Sus scrofa: one gene and its partner. The protein of the gene in region 1 interacts with the protein of each later gene in a pairwise test. Links are inferred from orthologs where the notes say so. Each region holds a gene or a part of one and is shown in the gene's direction. Other genes may lie near its edges.

Region 1 (3,751 bases):
AATGGTAAATAATTTCTGTTCCCAATATATCAACACATACTTATGGTAATTCATTACCTGCTGAAGTTACTGGTTTTATGACTTGTCCTGTGCTCACTGCAAATAATTGCACAATTTGCACTAGTCATCACTTCTGCTTGGAAGTTCCTCTTCTCACTTTTCCATCTGTGAATGCCATATTCATCCGTTCTTTAATATCCAGCCCCAAACAGCTTTTATCTCTCCAATAAAGACTCTATTTTCCCTCTTCTGAGCTCCACAAGGACCAATCATTTGTGTGTGTTTGTCTCTTTATGCATTGGTCTCCTTGTCAGCAGGGTGACATTCATCTTATCACTAGCACCTAGCACAAAACTTGGCGCATACTCAGTGTTTCATTAGGGTGAGCTGTGTTGACTTGGGGGAAGTAGCTCAAGTGCATCTCCTCTGTGTGTGAAGAATGTTTTATAATAGAGTGATCACAAAAGACTCCATGCCCCTCACCCCCAAGGAAACTGAAGCACATCAGAAAGCAAACCCGGTCCATATCTTAGGAAAGGTTCTTCAGTGACACAATCTTGGAAGTGGAATTGGGCCGTCTTCTTCATGACATGAGCTGTGGCCTCTTGGTGCTGAGGACCCCATTGTTGACACAGCTAGCCATGTTTTCATTAATTTGAATCAAGAAGCCATTTGGCAGCGGAGTATTACTGACTCTGGCATACTAATTATGTTGGCACTTCCCCCCCTTTTCTGACCAAAGGGAAAAGGTTGTAAGGAGATTGCTGCAACGGAGGGAAGGAAAGCAATTCAGGAAAGGCCCCATACACAGCCCAAAACACAAGAATACACAGTTAAAAATACAAGAATATTTCACAGATTGCCGGATGTCATAATTCTTCTCCACCTGTCTGCAAGAGTTCAGTGCTAATCTTCTATTCAGTTTTGTGGGTGTTAATTTACATAGAGCAAATATAGGTGAGAGAGTTGAAATGATGGGTGCTAAAAATTTTAGTTCCTAGGCTGTGTTGTTGACTTTGACTAGGAAATCAAGATTTAACTGTGCCTCACTTTTTTTTTTCCACTTTAAGAAATAATCGTAATCCAAAACTAACATGGTAGCCAAAGTTCTGCAACAGCTATGGACTCAAAAGATGGCTAAAAATCCTCAATAGAAACTCTCCCGTAATTAAGCAGCACCCGGCAACACAGGTGAGAATTATTAAACACTACAAAATGATGCCAGTTCATTGAGGCAAGTATTGAAAAGGGTGGAATTAATCTACCCATTATTATACTGACTTATTTCATTGAGGCTGTGCCTATAAGGAACATTAAAGGTCAGGGGGTGTGGTGTTCACTGTGTATATAGCATAGGAGCTCTGTTGGATATCTGCTGTTTTCCTCTCTAGGTATGTGCTCTTTCCTTCCCTGTTACTTGACTGATGTCTCTGTAGGCCACATTGGCAGGGTTCCTGTACCTTCTGTCTTCTGGTTGGGTTTAACCTACAGGGAGCTCTGGGAGACTGAAGGGAGAAAGGAGAAAGAGAATAGGGTATTTATTCTCCACAATCCTTTCCTGCACCATTGCCTTGGGCTGGCTCTGTTTCTCAAATTATATTCTTGAGTTAGCCTACTCTACATAATTTTGTCATGTTCTGAGTTCCAATAACTTCTCCCTTGTTTCTTAGGACCTAGGGATGGTGACAAACTCCACTGTTACTAGCCTCAGGTTCTTGCCCTATATCTTGTGGTTCCACCTACACCTAAATTAATAGTTTGTACTTAGTAACTTTATCAACCCTCTATGAATTTTTTTAAATTCTAATATGTCATGTGTTTCTGACAAGACAAGGCAAGACTGACAGCAGTAAAGCTTTGTTGAATGAAGTATCCTCAAATAGCACAATAGAAGCTGGGGTATACAAATGTCATTATATGATACAGAAAACAAACTTTCTTCAATGAAGGTCAAAAGATGAAGCATAAACTGTGTCAGCCTTAAAAAAGAAAATGGGTTCCCTGTTATAAGTTTTAAAAGGTGAACAAAAGAACATGTAGGCAGCTCAGATCAATGTTATTTTACCAGTTTGTAGGATACAAGTTCTCAGAGCAGCTTCAAACATTATGCAGTTCTTAAGTACAATTGAAATTTTATAATATACCCACTTAAATCATTGTAATCATTTTCTGGATGAATAGTTCTTAGTGGATATAAGTACTCCTATATCTGATTAGAAAGACATATGTACAAGTATTCATTGTATTTTTGGCATTTTAGGTTGATTTAGCATTAAAAGATGGGGTTAATTGCCAAAAATCACCTAGTGATAAGACGGAAGAAGGATTTTACAAGCATAGCTCATTTTCTGAACAGTTTTACAATGTTGGAAAAATATATCTGTGTGAGTAGAAAATGTCAACTTCTACACTGACAGAAAGCAGCAAATCAAATCGCTCAGGCTTTAAGCAGAATAAGATTCTCCTTACATGATCTGGTGCTACATGTTTGAATAAAGTAAAACCTTCAGCAATCAGGAATCTTCATCTTCTTACAGTTTTTGAAAGTATCATTTTTATATTTATCAGATGCCTTAAGGAGTCCAAGTTCTTACAAATGAGAAAATATTTTTTTTTCTTTCATGATTCTCTCTCATTTTAGATAATGTATCTCTCTTTAAGTTTTTAAAATTAAACACATATATAGCATATTACCTGTAACTCTCAGTAATCTGGAAAAGTAAATCTGCATTTCTTAAAGATTCTTATGATTAGAGTAATGATGCAGCCACTCTATAGTCATATTACAATTATTACACAACTTTCTTACTTGGAAAACAGAACTTAAATTAGCATGCAAGAAATCATATTTTATGAATTATTAAATATGTGTCATTGGTGTTTTAAAATCAATACATATTATTTAGTTACATAAATCAATCAGACTATAGCTAACTTAGGTAACCAGTTATGTGCTGTTGAATCCATGGATTAAATAATTTAAAATGATAGAGTTATGCCAGCAGTGCCAGTAGAAAAACATTTTCTTTTTTTTGTCTTTTTTTTTGCCTTTTCTAGGGCTGTTCCCGTGACGTATGGAGGTTCCCAGGCTAGAGGTCCAATTGGAGCTGTAGCCACTGGCCTACTCCAGAGCCACAGCAACCGCTGGCCTACGCCAGAGCCACAGCAGTGCGGGATCCGAGCAACATCTGTGACCTACACCACAGCTCATGGGAGGGAATGCCGGATCCTTAATCCACTGAGCAAGGGCAGGGATCGAACCTGCAACCTCATGGTTCCTAGACAGATTCGTTAACCACTGCGCCACAACGGGAACTCCAGTAGAAAAACATTTTTAAAGCATCCGCTATGTTCCAGGTGCTTTTGAAGATTCATAACTAAAACATAGTCCTTAGCCTTAGAAAAATTGTAATCAAAAGGAACGGAGAAAGTATGCATGTGATTGAATAAAATATAAGTTGAAACATGATAAATTCCTTCATAGAAATTTTTTTTTGTCTTTTTAGGGCTGCACCCATGGCATATGGAAGTTCTCAGGCTAGGGGTTGAAGCTGCTGGTCTATGCCACAGCCACAGCCACTCCAGATCAAAACTGCATGTGTAACCTACACCACAGCTTATGGCAATGCTGGATCCTTAACCCACTGAGCAAGGCCAGGGATTGAACCTGCATCCTCATGGATACTAATCAGTTTATTAACCTGCTGAGCCACAGTGGGAACTCCCCCTTCAGAGAAATTTTTGAAAAAAA
Region 2 (3,751 bases), on another chromosome or scaffold:
CTACAGGTTTTAAAAATCAAAGTACCACAAGATTGGCTATGCGTTGATAATTGAAGCTGGGAGATGGGTGCATGAGTGTTCACAATAGTACTCTCTACTTTTGGACATGTCTGAAACTTTTAATAATATAGTTTAAAAGAACATACTTACCAAAAGTGGGTGTTTAAAAGATGAGATTCATAATACTGGGTCCTGTTCTTAAAACCACATGCTCCAGTTGGGGATTCAAGAAAAGCACATGAGGAGTTCCCGTCGTGGCCCAGTGGTTAACGAATCCGACTAGGAACCATGAGGTTGCGGGTTCGATCCCTGCCACTTGCTCAGTGGGTTAACGATCCGGCGTTGCCATGAATTGTGGTGTAGGTTGCAGACGCGGCTCGGATCCCGCGTTGCTGTGGCTGTGGTGTAGGCCGGTGGCTACAGCTCCGATTGGACCCCTAGCCTGGGAACCCCCATATGCCGCAGGAGCGGCCCAAGAAATGGCAAAAAGACAAAACAAACAAACAAAAAAAAAAGAAAAGCCCATGAAAAGGCATATGTGAAAGTGTCGAAATCATAAAAGGAGAGAGGAGTAATCCATGTGGACTCTAGTAATTCATAAAATTTACATGAAAATAGTAAAACTTAGAAAAAAACCCCCTTTTTTTTTTGGCCGCACAGGCATGTGGAAGTTCCCTGGGCCAGGGATTAAAGCTGTTGAACCAGTGGGATTTGGAAGACCCTAACCACTGTAGTCGGATTCTTAATCCACTGTACCAGTGGGAACTCCCAAGTATTCTTTAGTTGTTCATTGTGTAGGCCATGTGGTCTACCTAGAAAGCCAAAGCAATGTAAAATAGGTATTCAAGGTGATGTTTAAAAATGGATACAAACCTTGTGGCTCAGCAGGTTACAAACCAGGGCTAGTATCCATGAGGCTGCGGGTTGGATCCCTGGCCTAACTCAGGGGGTTAAGGATCTTGAGCTGCAGTGAGCTGTGGTGTAGATCACAGATGCAGCTCGGATCCCTCCTTGCTGTGGCTGTGTCTGTGTCTGTTTTGCTGTAGGCTGGCAGCTACCCTCTAGCCTGGGAACTTCCAGGAGCGGCCCTTCAAAAAAGAAGAAAAAAAAAAAAAAAAAGATACAAAGAGGATAGGGAAACTTACTTAGAAAAACCGCGAATCCAGTCTCCACAAAGTGTTTACTTAAAAGCCATGAGAAAGTACATTGGCTCACCCCAGAAGCCCCCAAATTACTAAACGTGGGCCCAGCGGAGCTTCCCCCAGGTGCAGCTGGTCTGAACAAAAATAAGCCTTAGGAAAGCCCAGCCGCTTAGCGCGGGGAGTGGAGTTCGGCTTGACTCCACCCCCTCCACGAACTCAGCCCTGTGATTGGTCGTGACGCTTACCAAAGCTGCCCAATTGCATCCGAGCAGCTGCTTTAGCGTCTCTTTGTTTGCGGGGAGAAACATGGCGGATCGCCTGACACAGCTGCAGGACGCCGTGAACTCGGTGAGCAATTGTACTCGATTAGTCTCCGTCTTCTTTCCTGAGGGAAAGCAAGTTAGAAAAAGGGACTTGGGGGGCAAGCTTGGAAGTGGGGAGCGTCTTTCCGCAACGCACGCTCGGGTCGGCGGGAGGCGGCGCCGCGGTCTGTGAGGCCGAGGCGGCCGGTGGAATGGTGCGGAGCTGCGGGAGCCCGCGGCCTCAGCCTGCGAGGTGGAGGGTCTCCCTGCCTAGTCTCAAGCCTCACGGCCTTGTCATGTTTTCTAGGAACGGCTTTATTTTCTTGTCAGCGGTGCTTATGGGGTCGCCCCTCTTGCGGGGAAGAGAGAGGAAGCGGAAACTCCCTCCCGCACCCATACATTTTAACCCTTGGAGGGAAACCCGTGTTCTTAACCATTGGATTGGACCTTAGCGAAGAGTAATCCTTCGCCCAAATTTTCAGGTTGGGGCGGGAGTGACGGTAAAGTGAGTAATTTTGTTTCATCTCGGTTGGTTCCTGTAGACTAAGGGTCGTTGCATCTCTTGGCCACTCCCCCAGCGTAAGTCAAGTTTGGGGAAAACTGACATCTTTATGATAGTGAATCTTCTGATCCTTGTCTCTTTAAGTTTTTAAAAATGTCTGCCAAAAGTTCTACTCCCTATTAAAGTCAGATCTTGTAATTGGCCCTCTTACTTTGAACCTTCTGATTATTTTTCCTGTTATGTGAAGTGAAAGTGATGCAAACCAAGGGATTCATATGCTTATTACCGTTAAGAGCTAAATTGTTTTCTATCGGTAGTTACATTTCTCTCATTCTGTTTGTAATTTGATGTCCCAGAGAAGATGCCTATAGATGTTGACAGGAAAATCCAGGTACCTCTTGCTAGTTTTTTTTCTCACTAGAAGGAAATAGGCTGGCATTCTTGTTATTGCTCAGTCTTTGTACGTGAGCAATAAGTGTGAATGTACACATATTGAGTGTGAATCTGCATGTTAAAAACTGATCTACTTTGCCTATGAGGGCCAGCCCCTAAATGTCGATGAATTCACCAAGGTAAATTCTACCTTTGGTGACTTTTCTGGACTACTGAACAACCTACCTTGGGGAGACAGTCCTTTGAGGTTTTACAAAATCAAATTGTAATGATGCTACTTGATAGAAATGTTATTTTAGGGGAAATATCGCATAGTCATCCATGTCTCCTGGCCAGAAGGATAGTAAGAACAAAGTGAATATGGCCTTTACTCCAAAAGTAGGCATACTGATTTTGCAAAGAAGCCTCTAGGTTAACTAGTATGTGTAGAAGCACTATAATGTTTATGGAGAGATGCTCCTTAAGGAGTTTGCAGTCTGATTAGAAAGACGTCATATACTCAAGAGACATTTAAATAAATGACACAAAAGCAGTATATGGTTAGGGAGTTGAATCGAGTGTTTTCAGCTGTAAGTGCTGAAGTAAAGTGGGCTAGTGAGTGCTGTTAGGAGGGAGTCTTAGTGTTTTTCTGACTCATAATTGTAAAATTTTTAAAATATAATTTTATCCTCTGAGAACTTCATGAGAGCAGAAACTGTCTTGTTCACGCTCTAACTTAGAATGTTTATATAGTTATATACAGTTGATATATCATAGTGTTGATTTTTGATAAATATTTGGTGACTAACTGGATCTTGAGAGCTTCATAAGGACATAGTCACAGTGTTGAATATTCTTGTATTTTCTCTGTTCCTCATAACAATGCTGTAATGTGAGAATATTCCCAATTTAAAATTTCTTTTAAAACTCTATTTGCCAGAATTAGAATCCACATTTGTACAGCTTCAGAGCACTTATGGCCACTCCCTTACATTTGCAAAATGTGAGCAAATGCAGTGTTATCAGGAATGAATTTATCACTAGTCAGGAATATGAAAGAGTAGTAGGTAATGAACAAGTTGAGTTGACCTAGATTATTGAAAGCTTGGAAAGAGCCTTAAAGAGTTGGAGATTATCTTGAAGGCAATGCTAGGGTGAGCTCAAGATTTTTGAGCAGGGTTAAGTAAATGACATAGTGAGCTAGAAAATCATGAGGCTATTGTAAATAACTCTTATGTGAGGTAATTGGTTGAACTAAAACAGCAGCGCGATGGAGGAGGAAAAGGTAAAGATTTGTAGTAGTATTAACAGGATTTGAAGATGAAAGTTGAGAGTCTGAAGGTAGATTGGTTGACTAGAAGATTCTCAATACAAATTAAGTATTAAAGGAAACAGTTAACTTTGAGTTCTGTCATTCTAATGATGGCAGTCAA

What was found. The genes of interacting proteins can lie anywhere in the genome.
Region 2: the proteins of melanoma-associated antigen B4-like (region 1) and MED21 interact in binary tests that used the Homo sapiens proteins (3 or more experiments, as listed by UniProt). The two-hybrid records come from large-scale screens. The link is inferred for Sus scrofa from reciprocal best matches to the Homo sapiens genes MAGEB4 and MED21.

The regions. Positions count from the first base shown.
Region 1 is NC_010461.5:25,894,354-25,898,104, forward strand, and holds the start of melanoma-associated antigen B4-like, read left to right. Parts: upstream 1-1,070; 5' UTR 1,071-1,191; intron 1,192-3,751.
Region 2 is NC_010447.5:46,734,063-46,737,813, reverse strand, and holds the start of MED21 (mediator of RNA polymerase II transcription subunit 21), read left to right. Parts: upstream 1-1,432; 5' UTR 1,433-1,448; coding exon 1,449-1,490; intron 1,491-3,751. UniProt on the Homo sapiens protein: Component of the Mediator complex, a coactivator involved in the regulated transcription of nearly all RNA polymerase II-dependent genes.